Linked DNA regions of Drosophila melanogaster. The protein of the gene in region 2 interacts with the protein of the main gene of each other region in a pairwise test. Each region holds a gene or a part of one and is shown on either strand. Other genes may lie near its edges.

Region 1 (6,120 bases), on a different chromosome or scaffold from region 2:
AATGGCCAAAAAATAGAATTCACATTTTTAAAAACAGTTTGTTTCGGAATTCAATTACGAGCTCAACGATGTATGACATTCCATATTTGGACCATAATTTTTAAAGTTTCGCTAAAATAAATAAATAAATCAATAAATTATTGATTTTCAAAACCAGCTGCCTGATGAAATTCAACGACAAAAAATTAGAATTTCCAATTTTGAATAAGGAATTACACATTTTTGAGGAAAATTTTTAGATTTTTCGTACCAGGCGATCATAACCAGTAGCAGAAAACAAACTGCCAGTCTGTACAAAATGCACATTTTTATGGTAAATATATTGATTTTTTGCATCAGGCGATTACAATAAATAGCAGGTGTATACTGAAAACGAAATTCCAAAAGATCGTTGGTCTCATTCTGAAATTTCTGTTCGCCTGGTAGCGAAGCCCACAGCCCAGAGTTGCAGAAAAGGTAAATCGCTTTCAATATTTGCTTTTTAAAACATTACTATTTATTTCTTTTACTATGACGCTTGAATTTATCAGTTTTAGTTTTGTTTTGCGTTCGTTTTTTATCTTTGTTTTTGTTTTCTTTCAACTATTTTACAGGTGATAGACTATATTGCGCTTAGTGAAACTACATGCACTTCTATATATAATTTATTTATATATATAAATATCTTTATGTATATTCTTGTCAACATAATTTCTTCGGCTTTCGACTTACATCTTATTAAAAGACTTGTACAAATGCAGAATAAGAATAAGAATAAGATTCGGAATCGAAATCAGAGCGTAAAAGTGCGCAGACGAGAACATGAAGAAATAGTCACATATTGATGGACAAGTACAGAAAGAGCGAGATTTCATTTGAGATTCTGGACATTCGATAGATTCTGGTGATGCTGATCCGAGCCGAATCGATATGCACCATGGAAATTCCAGGTGGAATGCGGCAGATAGGATTTACAGATCGATCAACAACATGGCCGAGAATGTAGTGATGTGAGCAACTAACTAAATGCCCGCATAGAGAGGCAGCTTGGCGGTGTCCACCTTCTCCTCCACCTTGAACGAGGGGAATAGGCCGCCCTGGTTGGTGCGGGTATTCTTGCCCTTGGAATTGCCATCCCAATGGTTACCAGCCACCGAGACGAGGTCACCAACACGCAGCTGTAGATCCTCGTGCGTGCGCGGCTTGTGGGCGATAACGACGCGGCGATTGTGCGCATTCTGGCCACCGTAGTAGTATATGTCGTCCAGCGACTTGAACCGATGCGCTGCATCCGGATACATCGTCTGCATTATCTCGTAGGCCACGCGACACACCTGCGACGAGAAGGTGCACACCAGATGATCGGACATGGAAAGCAGGTGGATATCCAGAATGATCCCGTTCAGGGCGGTGTCCGTGTATCGTGTGGATACGGACGCCATGCGCGCCACCTCCGGATCACCAATGATCTGGTACTGCGGGTACTTTCGGCGCGCCTCCTCAATAACCTGGGCATCATCCGATGCGAGGAAAATCCGGCGAGCCACAGTGCTGCCGTTTACCTCCAGCGTGCGGTAGTAGTCCTCGACATAGGTCATATACTCCTCCACACTGTGGCAGGCCGCTTCTGTGCCCACTTTGTCCGTGCGACGGACATGAACGCTGTAAGAAAAAACCCGAATATTTAATTTTTTTCAAAAGAACAAATCGACTCTTGGTTCACTTACCCAACAATGGGACGCTCCCAACCCAAATTGCGCATGCCAGAGGTAAGAAAATCCCGCGTCGTTGGTTGCGGTCGGAGCAAATACTTAAGGAACTGACCCACCCACCAAACGATGGGGTCTCCATGCAGACGCTTAAGTCTCGGCGCCAGATCCTCGGGAACGGCGAGCGGCAGGTACGGCGGTCTCGGCATCAGCGAGTCAATGATGGGCAACACCAGCACCTGGGTGTTCGGCTTGCCCGGCCAATTGTATGTGTTGGCGGTGCCCGCATCATGGCAGCTGTTGGACACCGGTTGGAACACCTCCTCCCAGCCGCCCTTGTGATACCGCCATCCGCGGGATTTTAAGATGAGCGTCCGCTCGGTGGCGTAGGCCACTATAAAGCAATACACCACATGGTGCAGTTGGCAGCCGTAGCCACAGCCCTGGGGATTTAGGAATAACGAATTAGATTAATGGCTGACAAGTAAGGTGGCATTATAGTAACCGAAAGATTAGCTCAAGAAATAGGAATAATAAGAATATATAACGCACCTTGTTGAGCTTACAGACCAGCTTGCGAGCATTCTGGCAATCACTGGGATTCTGTAGATGGTGCAGGCGCCGCTGTACCAAATCGCTCAAATCCCGTGCCTCCTTGTGTCGCCAGGCCTCGTAGCCATCGGACTGACGCATCCGCTCCATATCGCTCAGCAGGGAGCGCTTGTGCTCGGCGCCTTGGAGCAGCACCTGGTTAATGGACTCCTCCAAATCGGCACTCGCATGGCCGGCGGCCACTGCCTTACGCACTTTGCCCAGTTCACTGCTGAAGAAATTCCAGATCTCACCGATGTTCGTCTGGATGCGTCTGCGCGTGAACTCGTACTCTAGGCTGGGCTCGAATTCGCCATGATCCGGAACACCGGCCTCCAGATCATTGGGCGCTCCCTCGGCCACATTATTCCAACCGCGCAGATCAGCGGGGGCGGACTCGAACATGGATTCTGGTTCCGGGCCGGCGACCTCGGGCGCCAGCTTTGGATTTAGCGCATCGTTCTCCAGCCTTTGCACCAGTTTCATTGCGCTCTGCTTGTCCAGTTGGTCACTGGAAAATAAAAAAAAAAAAGAGGGAGATGGGGGTTCAGGTTAGCAAAGCAGCTTATCGCATGTAATTCCGCCTACGTGCCATGAATAATTAGCCTGGCTGCTGACAAAACATCATTATGGTGATCGCAAAAGTGTAACTGCTATGGTACAATGTTTCAGGAAGCTATATTTAATACAAATACTATTGAAGCTTCTTTATTTCTACATAAACCGAGAACTGGTTATTGATTGATGCTAATCTCTTTGATATCACAGCTATGGCGGTATTTAAAATCGCAATTAACGTGTATAATCATTTGTTTACTTTATAGCAAGACCAAAAGGGGTTCCAGGCGAGTGCTAACAATGATATATTTTGTGCTATTGTGCTGCCCCCGGCTGTATCCCCACAGCTCCAGCCACCTACCTCATCAACTCGTCGATGAGCTGTTTAAGCTCCTCATTGCGCTGTCTCGTGTGCTCCAGCATCTGGAGCGCCTGTGATATGCGACGGGCGTTCAGCTCACTCTCCCCGGCCGCCTGCTGGCCCTGAGTATTGGTCAGCTTGACCACGAACACGTAGACCAACCCGATCCAGGCCAGTACGAATATGATGAGGGCGCGTGCCCAGGAGTTGGCCGAAGCCCCGAATAGCTGACGCACCAGCAGCATGCCGGCGTTTCCACTGCTGCTCCTGCTCCTCCTCCTCCTCTGGATTCTGCCCTCCGCTCGCCGGGACCACAATCGATCTTCCAGGGGATCAAGGAACGGGGCTCCGAACGGGGGCGGACTCGGAAATGCTCTCTACGTGTACTTCAATGCGGAGCTGTTTCGATTCCGGTGCATAGTCTCAATTAACTCCGATCCGGCCAGCAACCAAGGCGATCCAATGACATGGTCGGCGGGGCTAGGATTCCTCTTCGATTTATAGATATTTTATAAAGGATATATGGACGTATGGGATGGTGGCCAGCTGGAATGCAAGTTTCACGGAGCTCGATCAATGCCAGAATGAAATTGACTGATGGGCCGGTGGTCTATATCGCCGATCGAGTTGGCCAGGTAGTCGTGGCAAGTCAAATTAAGTGCAAAAGTATTCTATATATTTCCGTCCTGTTCTGTGTTTTCTTTTGATTAGCACTAGAGCTGTGTTGTTAGCACACCATGCTATCGATGCATAGACATCGATACATCTGCCCACTTGAAGAGCGTTGCCATATTCGGACGAGCCATTACATTATTTTCGATAAGTCGATGACTAGTTCCAACGGCTCTCGATGTAACGCCTATTCAAACACCAAATGCAAAAACCCCATTGAAGTGATAAAACAATTGAAGATGATTGTGGGATGTTTTCAGTTTTATGCCGTGTTTTCTTAATATTTCACATTTTATTCGCACTTATGCTACTAATAATAAAAATGATTATAATTTTCAGATGTGTTGTTACTTTCAAAGTTCCGACCGATCTGCGAGTGGTATGGGTCGTGGATATCGGGGAAACCACCCGGTACCGGCAACCCAAACCACGCGGAGATCGGACGACCTGCGTCGGGTGCAATTAAGATGCGGGCCGTATGCTTCCGTATCTTCTTTTTTCTCTTTTGGAAATCAAATGAAACGTGATTATCGTATAAATTATAAAAAATTCAGTATATGTAAAGTTAAAAAAAAGTTTTACACATAATATAAATTATATTATTATAATTACGACCACAAAAATTTCTTAGTGTTGAAATGAGTTTTGTTTTGTTTTGTTTCTTCCGAGTGTTTGTGTGTTTATGTGTGTGGGGAGGGGGTGTATTCTGTGTGCGGCGTGTTTTGAGTGAGAGAGATAGAGAGAGAGCGCGAGTTGCTGCGGGTCGACGGTCGAAGGGGGTGGTGGTGGAGTTGGTGGTGGGGGGCTTGGTTTATACGACAAGTTTTGATTTATTATTAAATTTAAATACCTATGTATATAAATTACGTTTCTGTTTATTATAATTATTGTTGTTTCCATCTTAATCATTTTGTTTTCTTTCGCTTTTTATTTTTCATATTTTTTTTTTGTTTTTTGTATGTAGTGGGCAACTGCGGCATTTGTAAATTTCTTTATATTTAAATGTTCCTTTTGACTGTGTAAAAATATCGATTTCCATCTGATCTTGTTTTGTAGTTACTATTCATGTATGCATTTGCTTTTCGTTTTAGTTAAATTACGTTAACGCTGCATTCTGAACTCTCTGTTGCTGCTGATTCTGCTGCTTGTTCTTCGGATTCTTGATCGGATTCTTCTGATTCTTCATCTTGGCGCGCTTTCTATGCTATTGAAATGTTGTTTGTGGTGCTGCTTACTGCCTTCTGGATCGGGATCCTATATTCCGCTCTGATCTGATCGGTTATGTTCATGTTATGTCGGGTTGTGTGTGTCTGTGTTGTGTGTATGAGAGTGGAGTGTGTTGGGTGTTCGCATCTCGTTATATGTTGTATATATATATATATATATGTGTATATATATATATATATAATATATTATATGTATGTATAGTTAGTTGCTTAATAGTAGAATTTCTTGAATGTTGTTGTGGTAAAGTGTAGGTAATGTTGCTCTATGTCTCTATGTCGACTCAACTGCACTACATACATATGTCTTTCCACCGGATACGCGGCGAACCGAAACGTGCCGAGCCGAACCGATCCCCGTTTCTGACCCGCATCCGCATCCGTATCCGTATTTCGTTTCCTCACCTCCGCCTCATTCGCTGCGCAGTTTCTTTAGATCCGGTGACTTCTCCCCCACGCCCACACCCACTCCGCCGGCGTTCTTCAGCTCCATATCGCAGTGCAGGGCAGTACGCTTCTGTCCAATGGCTGGTGCCGAGTCTGCACCCGCTGCTACCGGTGAAACCGCATCCACCGCCTTGTTCGCCGCCAGCTGCTGCAGTTTACTGTCCCTCACAATGCCGTTGCTGCTATTGCTCTCGTCAGCCTCTAGCTCCGCCTCATTATCCTCCTCCTCGTCCAGCTCATCTTCCTCCTCGTCCTCCGCCTCATCCTCATCCTCGTCGCCCAGGACGCCGTTCCCGTTACCATTTCCATTGGCTGGTGCTGCAGTCGCTTTGCTGGCTGGCTGTGGTGCTGCTGTAACCGCTTCCTCTTCTGCCAAAGGAGCAGGCTGACCGTTGTTGGTGATCGAATTGTTAGTTTTGTGGGGCTGGCTCGGCGACTGCTTTTGATTCTGATTCTGGCTCGAGTGCTGTGTGGGAGTCAGGATGGGCAGGCTGTTGGTCTTGGGCGGCGCCTCCTGATTGCTTTCAGAGTCCGAGGCGAGCGGTGTTCCACTCGAACCGATGCCAATGCCAATGTCTAG
Region 2 (3,553 bases):
GATGGATAGGTAGGTGGTTGGAGTTTTGGTGTTTAGGTTTAGTCTTCTGAGCATTTGACCCGTTGCTAGCCGTCTACCATATGGGAGTTAATTTGGGGCCAGATTTTCCATGTTAGGCTCGCCGAGCGTGGCGAGCTTTGATCCAGTAAATTGAGAGCGTGAAACGAGCTAGGAGACGGGCACTCTGCTGGCAAACTTGGGTCCTCTGCAGGATCATCCTTCCATGAGGGCTGTGCGAACTACAATATCTTGCTGACTAGTGTGGCGCGAAGAGGCTGAGCTCCACATTATTTGAACCTAATTACACAGACGCAGTGGAGCCCAGACCGAAGTTAAAGTTAAAGTCAAAGTCGGCGCCCCGTCAAATTGGTATACCAATTGCAGCATAGAAACGGCGGGAACATAAAAATGTTTGCACTTCGTTTTTGTCGCGCATAAAATCTAATATCGAATTACAAGGCCCGGTCTTTGGAGAGGAGTCCAGAGTTCGCAGAACAGTGTGCGTGTCAGCGAAACTTTGTGGCAGGCTCCGTCGACCAAGCGCTCCGGCTCCACATCCCCACGTCTCCACATCCTCAAGCTCGCATCCACATCCCGCTGCCATAAAGAAACTGAATTGAGTTAAATGCGCGATAAATTGCTTTTTGCATTTATCATGGTCGCCCTGGCAGGCGGCAGCCCAAGTTTTCGCTGGAGTCGGGCCAAGCCTAGACCACGAAGATGGCAAGGCGACTCTGTGGACGCCACACCCGGACTGCCGAACTCCTCCACCCTCCCTCTGGCTGTGGCGAATATTGAACAAGATTTTTAATTAGTCGCCAAAGCGTAGAAAGTGGGGGGATGTGACCAAGAACGCAAGACTTCGAGGAATTTAGTCAAGTTCGGGCAGAGACTCGGTTTATTTATGCGCTACAGGTCGGTATTTATTGGGCCAAGTCTTGGTTGATCACCTGACTGATGTAGGGCAGAAAACTGGACACCCGCGTGTAGACGTCGGGTCTGCCCTGGGCACAGGTGGATGATCCGTAGGAGACAATTCCCACCAAGTGCGGCTGCTTACCGGGCCTAATCAAGGGTCCACCAGAGTCGCCCTAAGTTTGGGAAAGCATGATTAATTCCGCTTAGCGTGATATTACTTTTTGTTTACTCACCACACATGCCCCTTGACCCTGGACAGCCAGTGCGCAGATCTCGTTCCGAGTCACCCGAAATCCCTTTTGATTGCAATCCTCGTTCGAGATGGTGCGATAGTTCAAAGCCTGCAGCTGATCGGGCAGAGTCGCCGAGGAAGTGGATGGACTGGTGGATCCCCAGCCGGTGAGGCGTACCGGAACCTTCTCGCCAATGCGATCCGAGCCACCGATTAGAATTGTACTGATATCGGATCGCTCCAGGCGGAACGGCGGAGTAACCTTGACCAGGGCAATGTCATTGATAATGCGAGGATTCATCGAGTACTGGGGATGGACGTGCTTGGTCACCAACCGGTGACGTAGTCCACCGGCCTTCCAGTTAAGCGTCCCCACGACCACGCTAACGTCCTCGACCTTCATCTTCTCCATACAGTGGGCCGCCGTAAGGACGTGCTGACCGCTCACAATGGATCCTCCACAAAAGTGCTGCCAGCGTCCACGTCGCTGCATTTGCAAGGACACCTGGAAGGGCACCGTCTCGTTCACGCGCTGTCCTCCATTTATCCTAGTGGGTGATTCGGTGGTCGAGGTTACCACGTCAGCTAGTCCTTGGCGAAGGATCAACAACATGCAGAAAAGCTGTAGTACTACCATTTCAAAATACGATCACGATTCAACTGTTGGAAATGAATTGCATTCCACTGCAACCCATCCATTTTATACATCTCCATGCAGAACAGCCTTATCATTTATTTGGCAATGTAAACATTTAAATTCCGGTGATCTTGAAATGTAATGTGGGCTGAATCGGTGTGACCTTTCCCAAATATCTCCTACAAATAACACATATGTGCTCATGTACACTTAACAAAAATACTTTCCTTTTTGTACATTAATGTAATTCAATTTAATACATATATTTAAAGATAAACATTGGCCAGATCTATGTAATATATACCATTTTCAAAAATTCGGATTCAAACAGTAGTCGAGGAGATCCCACCTGCTGCTCCGCTCCGTGCTGCCCAGTTGTCGCTTTGCGTGTCTGGTTATCATAAGCTAGCCGGGATGCGATCCTTCGATGCCATCATAATACTGGGCTTGACAGAAGCGCCTACCTGTTGTCATCAATTAGGTAACACGCTCACGCGACCGATAAATATTAAGGCAGCTCTAGCCGAATCCCCATATCGGTATCTGTCTATCTGGGCGACTGAGAATTCGTATCTGGTCGCTGTTCCCTGGCATGATCTCTTATCTGATTTGCAAATAAGAATCTGTTTAATTTGCCAATGCTCGAGCGCAAAACCAACGCCAGATCGCTGCATGTGTTGGTGTCCAGAGTCATAATTTATATTACTAGTTGGAGAGGAGTGGAGTGGGATTCCTCTGATTCGCTGGAAGAACGAGGTGCTGCTTGTGGTGCGATCCTGGGCAAATTAAGTACTAAAATAAACGACCAATTTACTGATTATGCAAAACACGCAATTAATTTTCCACTTGCAAGCGAGTGCGAAAATTAATTGCCTGCGAAGTGGAAAACTCATTCGACTAACCAGACTGATCCCGTTTGTTTATGTGGGGTTCCGTCATAATCATTTGCATACGAGTCGATGCAGAGGAAAGTTTTTCCAACCTGTTCTTGATTGACCCCAAAAATCAACATGGCTAGTTATACCCTTCCAGAGCTGCTACTGTATTTAAAGCCTGATACATGCACACACATAAAATGCCACTTCTTCTCCCACTCCGGACAGATCATAAAACCAGCGGCTCTGCTTTATAAACTCGGCCAATAAATCAAGCTGAAGACGTTGGCGGCAAAGAGACAAACAAGAACACAAGTCCCGAAAACAAAAAGCCCATAAAAATTGCACCGGCAATGAATGTGGCCTGTTCTTCTGGGCCACACGCACAATTCTACAGAAGTTGGCTGGCGAACTGGCTAACTGACCAACTGGCGAACATGGCCCAGAAGCAGAGCCATCCAGCGGGGCAGGCAATCAAACAAAATGTCATAATAATGATGGCGTCCCGTCGGAGCCGACGGGCAGGATGCTTATCTTGTTAACACCGAACCGATCCACCAGCCCTTCAAGAGGAGAATATGGTCTCGGGAACACCGCTGATGATGAAATGATTAAAGTGCACTTTATTAGTGGGAATTTTGAGCATCGTCTGCGATTTTTGCCTTTATCATTAAAGCGGTTTTTTGTGACTGCTGGTTGTGCAAACTCGAAACTGTTTAGCAGCTTAAAGTGCAAAGTGGTTGTAGGAAGTAAGAATAATATGTATATGTGCACTTTTCACTAGCTTATAACAATAGAAATGATCCCATTGTTTTTTAAAACTGACATTGTTTTTTTCCTCGATTAAATAAAAATGTATAGCAAACTTCTTGGTGTGTACATTTTCTTGAT

The links.
Region 1: the proteins of CG3916 (region 2) and FucT6 interact in a two-hybrid assay, tested with the Drosophila melanogaster proteins (one large-scale study listed by BioGRID).

The regions. Positions count from the first base shown.
Region 1 is NC_004354.4:11,706,005-11,712,124, forward strand, and holds FucT6 (alpha1,6-fucosyltransferase), read right to left. Parts: upstream 3,948-6,120; 5' UTR 3,444-3,947; coding exon 3,199-3,443; intron 2,791-3,198; coding exon 2,241-2,790; intron 2,132-2,240; coding exon 1,707-2,131; intron 1,642-1,706; coding exon 1,002-1,641; 3' UTR 571-1,001; downstream 1-570. Other genes in the region: amun, read right to left, coding at 5,506-6,120. UniProt on the Drosophila melanogaster protein: Catalyzes the addition of fucose in alpha 1-6 linkage to the first GlcNAc residue, next to the peptide chains in N-glycans. The addition is prevented if the GlcNAc residue is already fucosylated.
Region 2 is NT_033777.3:12,227,690-12,231,242, reverse strand, and holds CG3916 (uncharacterized protein), read right to left. Parts: upstream 1,831-3,553; 5' UTR 1,788-1,830; coding exon 1,152-1,787; intron 1,092-1,151; coding exon 924-1,091; 3' UTR 818-923; downstream 1-817.